2 linked regions of the Tribolium castaneum genome follow. The protein of the gene in region 2 purifies or fractionates together with the protein of the main gene of each other region. This does not show direct contact. Links are inferred from orthologs where the notes say so. Each region holds a gene or a part of one and is shown on either strand. Other genes may lie near its edges.

The links.
Region 1: the proteins of Fmr1 (region 2) and lig purify together in Drosophila melanogaster (affinity purification with western blotting; 3 studies listed by BioGRID, with this or other methods). This does not show direct contact. The link is inferred for Tribolium castaneum from reciprocal best matches to the Drosophila melanogaster genes Fmr1 and lig.

What each region holds. Positions count from the first base shown.
Region 1 is NC_087396.1:16,161,479-16,165,231, reverse strand, and holds the start of lig (protein lingerer), read right to left. Parts: upstream 2,934-3,753; 5' UTR 2,806-2,933; exon of another isoform or gene 2,748-2,805; intron 2,399-2,747; 5' UTR 2,360-2,398; coding exon 2,272-2,359; intron 2,221-2,271; coding exon 2,027-2,220; intron 1,129-2,026; coding exon 654-1,128; intron 1-653. UniProt on the Drosophila melanogaster protein: Acts in the nervous system to mediate the control of copulatory organs during courtship.
Region 2 is NC_087400.1:7,272,903-7,276,655, reverse strand, and holds the start of Fmr1 (RNA-binding protein FXR1), read right to left. Parts: upstream 2,445-3,753; 5' UTR 2,316-2,444; coding exon 2,298-2,315; intron 2,276-2,297; coding exon of another isoform or gene 2,208-2,275; exon of another isoform or gene 2,145-2,207; intron 2,094-2,144; exon of another isoform or gene 1,964-2,093; intron 252-1,963; coding exon 138-251; intron 1-137. Other genes in the region: WD repeat-containing protein 44, read left to right, coding at 2,208-2,275, 2,445-2,565, 2,611-2,872, 2,924-3,183, 3,231-3,550. UniProt on the Drosophila melanogaster protein: Polyribosome-associated RNA-binding protein that plays a role in neuronal development and synaptic plasticity through the regulation of protein synthesis of mRNAs.

The sequences.
Region 1 (3,753 bases), on a different chromosome or scaffold from region 2:
GTATCTAATCTATGGCTATTATAAAAAATATATTTCAATTATTTAAAGGAACTTTTTCAACGCCGCATAATAGCAAAAAAATTCATATTAGCGAGTTATAGATACCAATTATCTGTTTCATTCACTAGTGTAAATACATTAAACGTAAATTCCCCATCGTTTTCCTCATAAAAATTGAATTATGCATTTCGTAATCAAATTCCTGAAAACTTTGATATCTCTAGGAACGAAAATTGATTAAAAATTGTTTTGCAAAGAAAATTTAAAATATTTCACCAAAAATTCTTTTTGAATGTATGATGAGATTGATAAGTATGCATTTATTAAAAAAAACTAATTGTACAGTAACGTAATTTCAAGCAAGAAACACACCTAATCTTCCTTACCTTTTTATAAGAATTATAAATTATAAGAAACGAATGATCTAAAGCAGAGAATAGACTTTCATTCAAAGTTATACATAAAATAATTTTTTCAAAAAAATCATGTTTTTCACTATCCAAATATTCCATATAAGTAGGTTATTTCCTCCCGAAGAAGCAAAATATTTCATTTAAAAAAAATACATTAATTGATTATCCTGATGAGACGCCGAAGAAAAATAAATCAAAATTTCTATTGAAGAAGATTCCTCGGCTATCGCCTTATCTTACCCGTGTGGTTCGTTGCGGCCACCGTGCTGTTATCCCACGTGTTGGAGTTATCCCAGGTGTCGATGGGTTTGTTATAGGCGTTGCTCCGACTTCCCCTCGGCGGATATCTGCCTCCAGCGCGTCCGCCGCCCCTTCCTCGACCGCCTCCAGGACCACGCGTCGATCCCCCAGGTCTGCCGCGACGATCGCGGTGGAAATCACGACCGCCACCGCCGCCCTCTTCGAGGTTACGCTCGTTTTCTTGTTTCTCTCGGCCACGCCACCCGCGGCTGTCATTATGTCGGCCGTGGAGACGAGGCGGACCGCTCTTGTTCCGCGGTTTGTCCTTCTCGTTGCCGTTGCCGGCACCGCCGCCCCCGCCGGCAGATGGGACGTCGTTCCAATCGTCGCCGCCCGCAGACTCCTCTATCTTTTCCTGCTTGCTGGCGGACGCTTGGCGGTTCTTTTTCTTCTTAACTCTAGTCTCCCACTCACCCTGATAACACAAAACCAGACTTCTTATTACGCGAACACCAAATTAAAAACGAAAGGAAAATACATACTTATTAAAAAACGGAACCAGACGACCATGGGAAGAAACCAGTTAAGATTTTTTTATTCGCTACTGTCACAAAAAATAAAACTAACGTTTTGTTCCTCCATGGTATTACAAATACATCCCATTAAAAAGTAGAAGAAAAAAATTATTGTCATTAAATGTTGATGCCACGTCGTTTAGCCTTGACCATGACAAATTGATGTAATTTCCGGAATAGTAAATAAACAATTTTTAGTTATTAACAATAACCAAATTTTAATGGTTATTTTTTCAAAAATGTAACATATAATTATTATAATACGAGTTAAGGTTACAACTGTGTGAGAAGTTTTATTACTAAATTAAAACCAAAAAATGCAACCTCAAACATAAACCACTCTCATTTCACATTCTACTTATATTTTATCACTCTGTCTTTCCCTTTTTCTCTAATTTCAGTAAGTTTAAGATAACATTTTACGTTTTAAATATACATTTAACAAAAAATAGAATTTCTAGAATTCCCATAAGTATCCGTTACTTATTACCAGTTTACACGATAGGATAGTAGTTTTACGTAGTTCACTATTAAATAAAACAATACAATAAAATCGAAGAATACGTTGTTTACTTATGCTTATCAGATATCCTATTGTTTAATGATTTAATAATGTTTTGTTTTGAGTTTTTGACAGCAACTAGCGACACCAGCAAAACAATGGCAGAAAAGACGTGAATTCTGTGAAACGCTATAAACTGCTTGAGTAGGGCGACTACAAAACTTTTTTTTAATTTATTTACTACACGATTTACGAAAAGAATCAGTTTAAGAGCAGTAAACTAAAACAATACTCACTTGCCCCATATTTTCCAAAAGCATGTTCATGGCCGCGTTTTCATCATAGTCGCAATCATGTAGAGCAAGACAAACCTCCTCTTCAGACCTCTGAGACATCTCCATCAGCTTCTTCACTTTGTCCTTAATGAAAGGATCTTCTGATTTTGCATGTGTGTTATCTCTGCTTGCTTGCTGCTTGTCTGAGCCTTTCCCTGAGACACGCATCTTAGTCCCCGCATTGCCAAAAAGCCCCCCGAACTCACCTGTGTCGGATTTATCTGATTTGTGTGTTTTATTGTCAGTCTTTGACCCTTTCCCACCTTTAGAGGTGGTTCGATTGCTCGAACTCATGATTTGTACAGTATGTACAGTGTACTATTTACAAACTATCTGTAAAAAATAAACTCAATGAGTAACATATTTTTCGGAAGAGTAAATATCGCCGCCGTTGCGAAATAACTGGATTTTCCGGCAATAACAAAGAGGCATCAGGGGGCTAGCCGCGCGTGAGGCGGATGAGAAAAATAGCAGCTCTGGGGGCAAATTGGGGCGCGCACGGCGGGATGGAAGCCCCCGGTGGCCGACGACCGCTTTTATACCATGTGGAGGGACGCCATTTCAGAGCTTGTAAAGCAGTTCATGACAACCAAACAGAACGAGGAAATTACGCGATTTCGGAGAAATTTGACTCGATCGAGGGCTGGAAATCGGGGGCTGGGGCCCAAATTGCACACCATACCTCAACAAGCACTCACTAACGGTCTTAAATCAATCGAAAACGACAACGTTAACCATACCTGTATAATTCAGTAAAACCACAACGCACTAGTAACTGGTCACGTGATCACGAAAATGGCGGATGGACGTTTGCCAAAGCGCGCCAAATTACCGACCGAGACTGACGCTTTTGTCTTTGATTTTCAAATTTGACAAAATAAATACAAAATTTCCGTTTTGATATTTTGTTTATCACTAAAAACTCTAATTCTTGGCCACAGCTGTAAGACAGTTAAACCTAAACTTGAGCTGTAACTGGTGAAGTCATTTTTTTTGTACTTGATTAATTTGAATGGAAATGCCGCGGAAGTGGCTACGGTGCCTGCATTTTTTTATTCTTTGTTCTTTTATTTATTTCATTTTATAACGTTTCATTAAAACGCAACAATATTATTCGCTTATTTTGCTTTTTTGTAACTTATGCATTCGAGTTTTGTTTTTCCGATACATGTTTTTGTATGCAATTTGTACTTCTTGTAAGGTAAATGAACTGGTTCATGGACGAGCGTCAATAAGAATCACGGAAGAACTTTGTTAAAAGAATCTCAAGAACATTAGACGGTCACAAATATGTTAATAGAAAAAAATACAGAAAAATAAACAGCGCAAGTTTCAATTTTGTTTTGAATTAAGGTAGATGGCAGGAACAATTAAATAATTTATTATAAAAATTATAACAGTGGCTTAAAACTGTATAAAAACAATGCATCTTAACAATTAAAGTTGTTGGAATAAGTGATTTTCTTGCTTTAGCCACCATTGATGTCTCTTGTTTCTCTCCACCGACCGTCCTACTATATTTTTAAAACATAAAAGTTATTAGAAATCCTGAAAATAATATTAGAACAAATTGGCACATTAAACCAACATCTTCTTTACGTATTTTAAATTTTTATTTAAATCACCCTCTTCAGCAAAAATTAAGTCTCATGACCCAAAATTACTTCCCGAAAATTTCAACATCACCA
Region 2 (3,753 bases):
TCCAAGATTTCGGGATTTTTCTCGGAAAGTATGGGGTTTACGGGGGTGGCGGAGGCTTGTGCTCAAGCACCGACACATGGACAATGGACGGGAACGCAACGATGGATTGGCAAAAGCATACTTTGTGTGGTACAGACCTTATAAAGGGCCCCATTTTCGCCGCATACTTCCACTGCCAGGTCCTCCATGTTGGTTTTGTTCTTGGGTGAGGAAACAGCCTTGAGCCGAGAGGGAGTTGCACTGCTGCCACTCTAGCAAAAAGAAATTCAGTGAGTGACAGATACGAAATGGAGAGCTGGGATTGGTCGAAAACCGAAGGGAGCAGTGGCGGCGCCAGCGACACCAATAAGGGGGCAAATGAGGATAATTCAACAAGCTGATAGACAAACCTGCTTTATTTCTCCTTAAATTAGAAAAGTTCTTCTTAAATCCTTATTACAATAAAAGATTAAGTAGTCCTAAGTTATTCTGATCGTCCGAAAAGTGCTAGTTTTTAGAAAAAAACTACTTAAGTTTCTTGTTTTCACTTACATTGCTTAGAAGCATCACATTTGTGATAGGAATTTATCTTTAGAGATAGTAACTTTCCGGGATCGATTATTTTAAATCCACAGTACTATTTTTTAAGATCCATGTAGGCATTGGCAATTTATTGTACCTGTTTTATATTTTAACAAAAATTGAAAATATCGTTTGTTTTTTGTATTACCAATAGGTTTTTTCAAATATTTTCTGCGACGAAGAATAAGCGACATAATCGCTTGACGTCACAGCCGCCTTTCATCACAGAATCTTCGTATCATTAAATCCTCTCAGTCACCAAAAACAGACATTTTTCACACATCTTCGACAAAATAAAAAATTAACTACTTTCTAGACTTCTTTCGGGTCCAAATTTTTAAAAAGCAAAAACGTAATTAATTGTTTGAAAAAATTACCGCAAAATAATTATTTATGAAAAAAGTGCTAGGCGATTTTACCGTCCAGTTCAGCAAAAGTTCAGCAATTGAACACAAATTGTTCGCAAAAGTGGCAGAACGAATGGTTTTTGAAATAAACAACTTTAGCAGTAAACTAGTTTTTGCCAGAACAGCAACACCGCTCAAAAGTTATTGAACTAAAGCTTACAAAGCCTGTTAAAAATTTTGCTTTTATCATTTTTAATAAACTAACAAAAGATAAACGTTTTAAAAAAGTTATTGAAATAACTTATTAACTTAACTTAATTTCATGAGTGATAAAATTATAAACAAAAAATTTATTAAAAAAAATATGATGTGATGACAAAAATTTTATCAAATTCGTGAACTGTAGACCAAATCAAATTTTACTCAGATTGTTCAAAGGACAAGACTTGGGTTGAGTAGTGTAATTATTCAAAAAATAGTTGCAAAATTTTATCATAAAACGTGTAATTAGTTCAAAAATGCGCTTAAACGTTCGATAAAGGTAAAAATTTAAGATACATAATTTAGTGATTTTGCGGTTGATAAACAAAAAACAAAGTTTTTAGCTCAGAAACATAGCTTTATTGCCTGAAAAGCAAAAATTACACAATTTTTGACGTAATTCAGTATTTTTTTTAGAAATATTGCCAAATATTATATGCATAATGTTATTTTTGACCACATTTAGTTATTTTTCGGCTCAATTTACGAATTTTTTTGGATTGATTTAGCAAAATTTTGCATAGTGTGTTTGGGAATGCAAAAGAACTCGACAATTTATAATTAAAATAATTAAGCAACAGATCAAATTTAACTAGAAACAGGGCCTTAAGACATTTTAGCTTCCACAAAAACACATTTTAAACTTTGACAGTTCGATACTTCCTATGGATACTTCAAAATTTAAAAAAAATATCACCCGGCAACCATCTTGGATTTTGGATTTTGGACCATGAAACATTTAGAGATTAGGATTGTCTTCTGCCATTATTTTTAACCTTTTTTTGCAACATTTGACAAAGCTTTGAAGACGGTCTTTGAGCTACATGTTAAACGTTCCCATGTTAGCCCCCCTTGCGCCGCCACTGCCCTGGCACCGCAACGTGACCATGACTAGTTCGTCAAACTGACAGGCCCAGCGGCGCTGTGCGTAATCACGCTTATCTTTTAAACTAAACGTTGTCATTGGTTTTGTAGGGCGCCGAAATTTGCGAGTGCCCCCGTGACAACGCCCCGAAATGACGAGTCGCTCATGAGACAATGTCCAGCAGCAGCGACTCGGAGGAATTCTACGACGCCGAAGACCTAACACCTAGTCATGGTCCAAGGTACGCCCCAAGCACTTTTTACCTCCAAGAAGACTTTCATTTCTTCACTTTGGACCACCACAACACCACTTTATTTACACTTCACGACAACAAAAAACAATTGAAACACATGCCCTTTGACAGATGCTCGCTTGCCCACTTGATAATTATATCGTGTAAAATTTTATAGAAAAAATCGGAAAAGCTCCAAGGAAAGTCTCACCCAGAGGGCTAGTTCGGAACCTAATGTCTCAACGGTGCCCCCAGGTCACGACGAGAGACAGCTCCAGTCGGTCAATGAGATTGTTTTTGTAAGTGAAGGTGTTACATAACCTCAAAAACATATGGTTGCGTAGGTTGAGCCCCAGAAGAGGACACCGCTTGGTGGCCGGCGCAAGTTCAAGGAGTTGAGACAGAAGCTGCAACACGACGATGAGGACTGTCAAACTGGCAACGTTACGCCCCCCAACAGCCAAACATCATCAGTTGAGGGGGTTTTCGCCGCCTCCAATAAGACCTCCCACCCTTTCCGTATCATAGAACAGGACACTGTGAGCCTCCAGAGTATCAATTCTTTAGGACGGCTCACACGAATTTTAGGGGGGATCGCCGAAGGGGGTAATAATTCAGTGATTGGTTTTGTTTAAATTCTAAATAATTTAATATTAGAATGTGGCCGCAAGGCCGTTTCCGTATCCGCTCTCTCCTCCAGCTCCCTCGACTCGGGCTCCACCCCCAGCTCGAAGGGCATCTCCCAGTACCCCAGCAATGCAACACTGACTTCCGAAAAGTCCAGTCTTCCGCTACAAGAACCCGACGTCATTGCAAGCACAAAAGCCTCCTCTTCGCAAAAGAGCGACGATCAAAATGTGGCACCGGTGGCTCCCCCACGTCGCAAAAAGAAAAACAAGGCGGCGCTCCAAATCAAAGTATGTCTTGGACCGCTATCATCTTTTTTTTAAAGTCGGTATTGCAGAAATCTGCATCGAGTGCGACTTTTGAGTCCTCCGACCTGGCGAGTCCTGCGAGTACCATTGAGTCTTTGACGCGCGAATTCGAACATTCTCTCGATCGCCTGCCGTCCGGCAACGAATCGCAGAGTTCGACGCTACGGTCGGGGCACTCGTTGGATATCAAGCAGGCGTTGAAGGGTCAATTTGTGGTCAAGCCCCAGGATAATGAAAGTTTGAAGGCCGGGGAAGGGGGTAAGGTTAAGAGTGAAGTGGTCCAAGCAGCGAGTCCGAGAGGGTCTTCCACGAGGTCAAGTGTCGGGCACTACAGTTTGGGACCTCATAGGTATTTATACATTTTTGATGATCAATCAAGTTGGCTTTATACCATGTCCATCAAGTGGGCCTGAGACCACTTGATTGATTAAATTAACTTCATAAAAAGCTTTTTAATAGCACAGTTAATAGTAATTTATGCTTCCCTTATCACGTAAAATCTAAAAAACTAAGTTCTATAATTCATACACGATGTTTTTGCATAAGAAATTT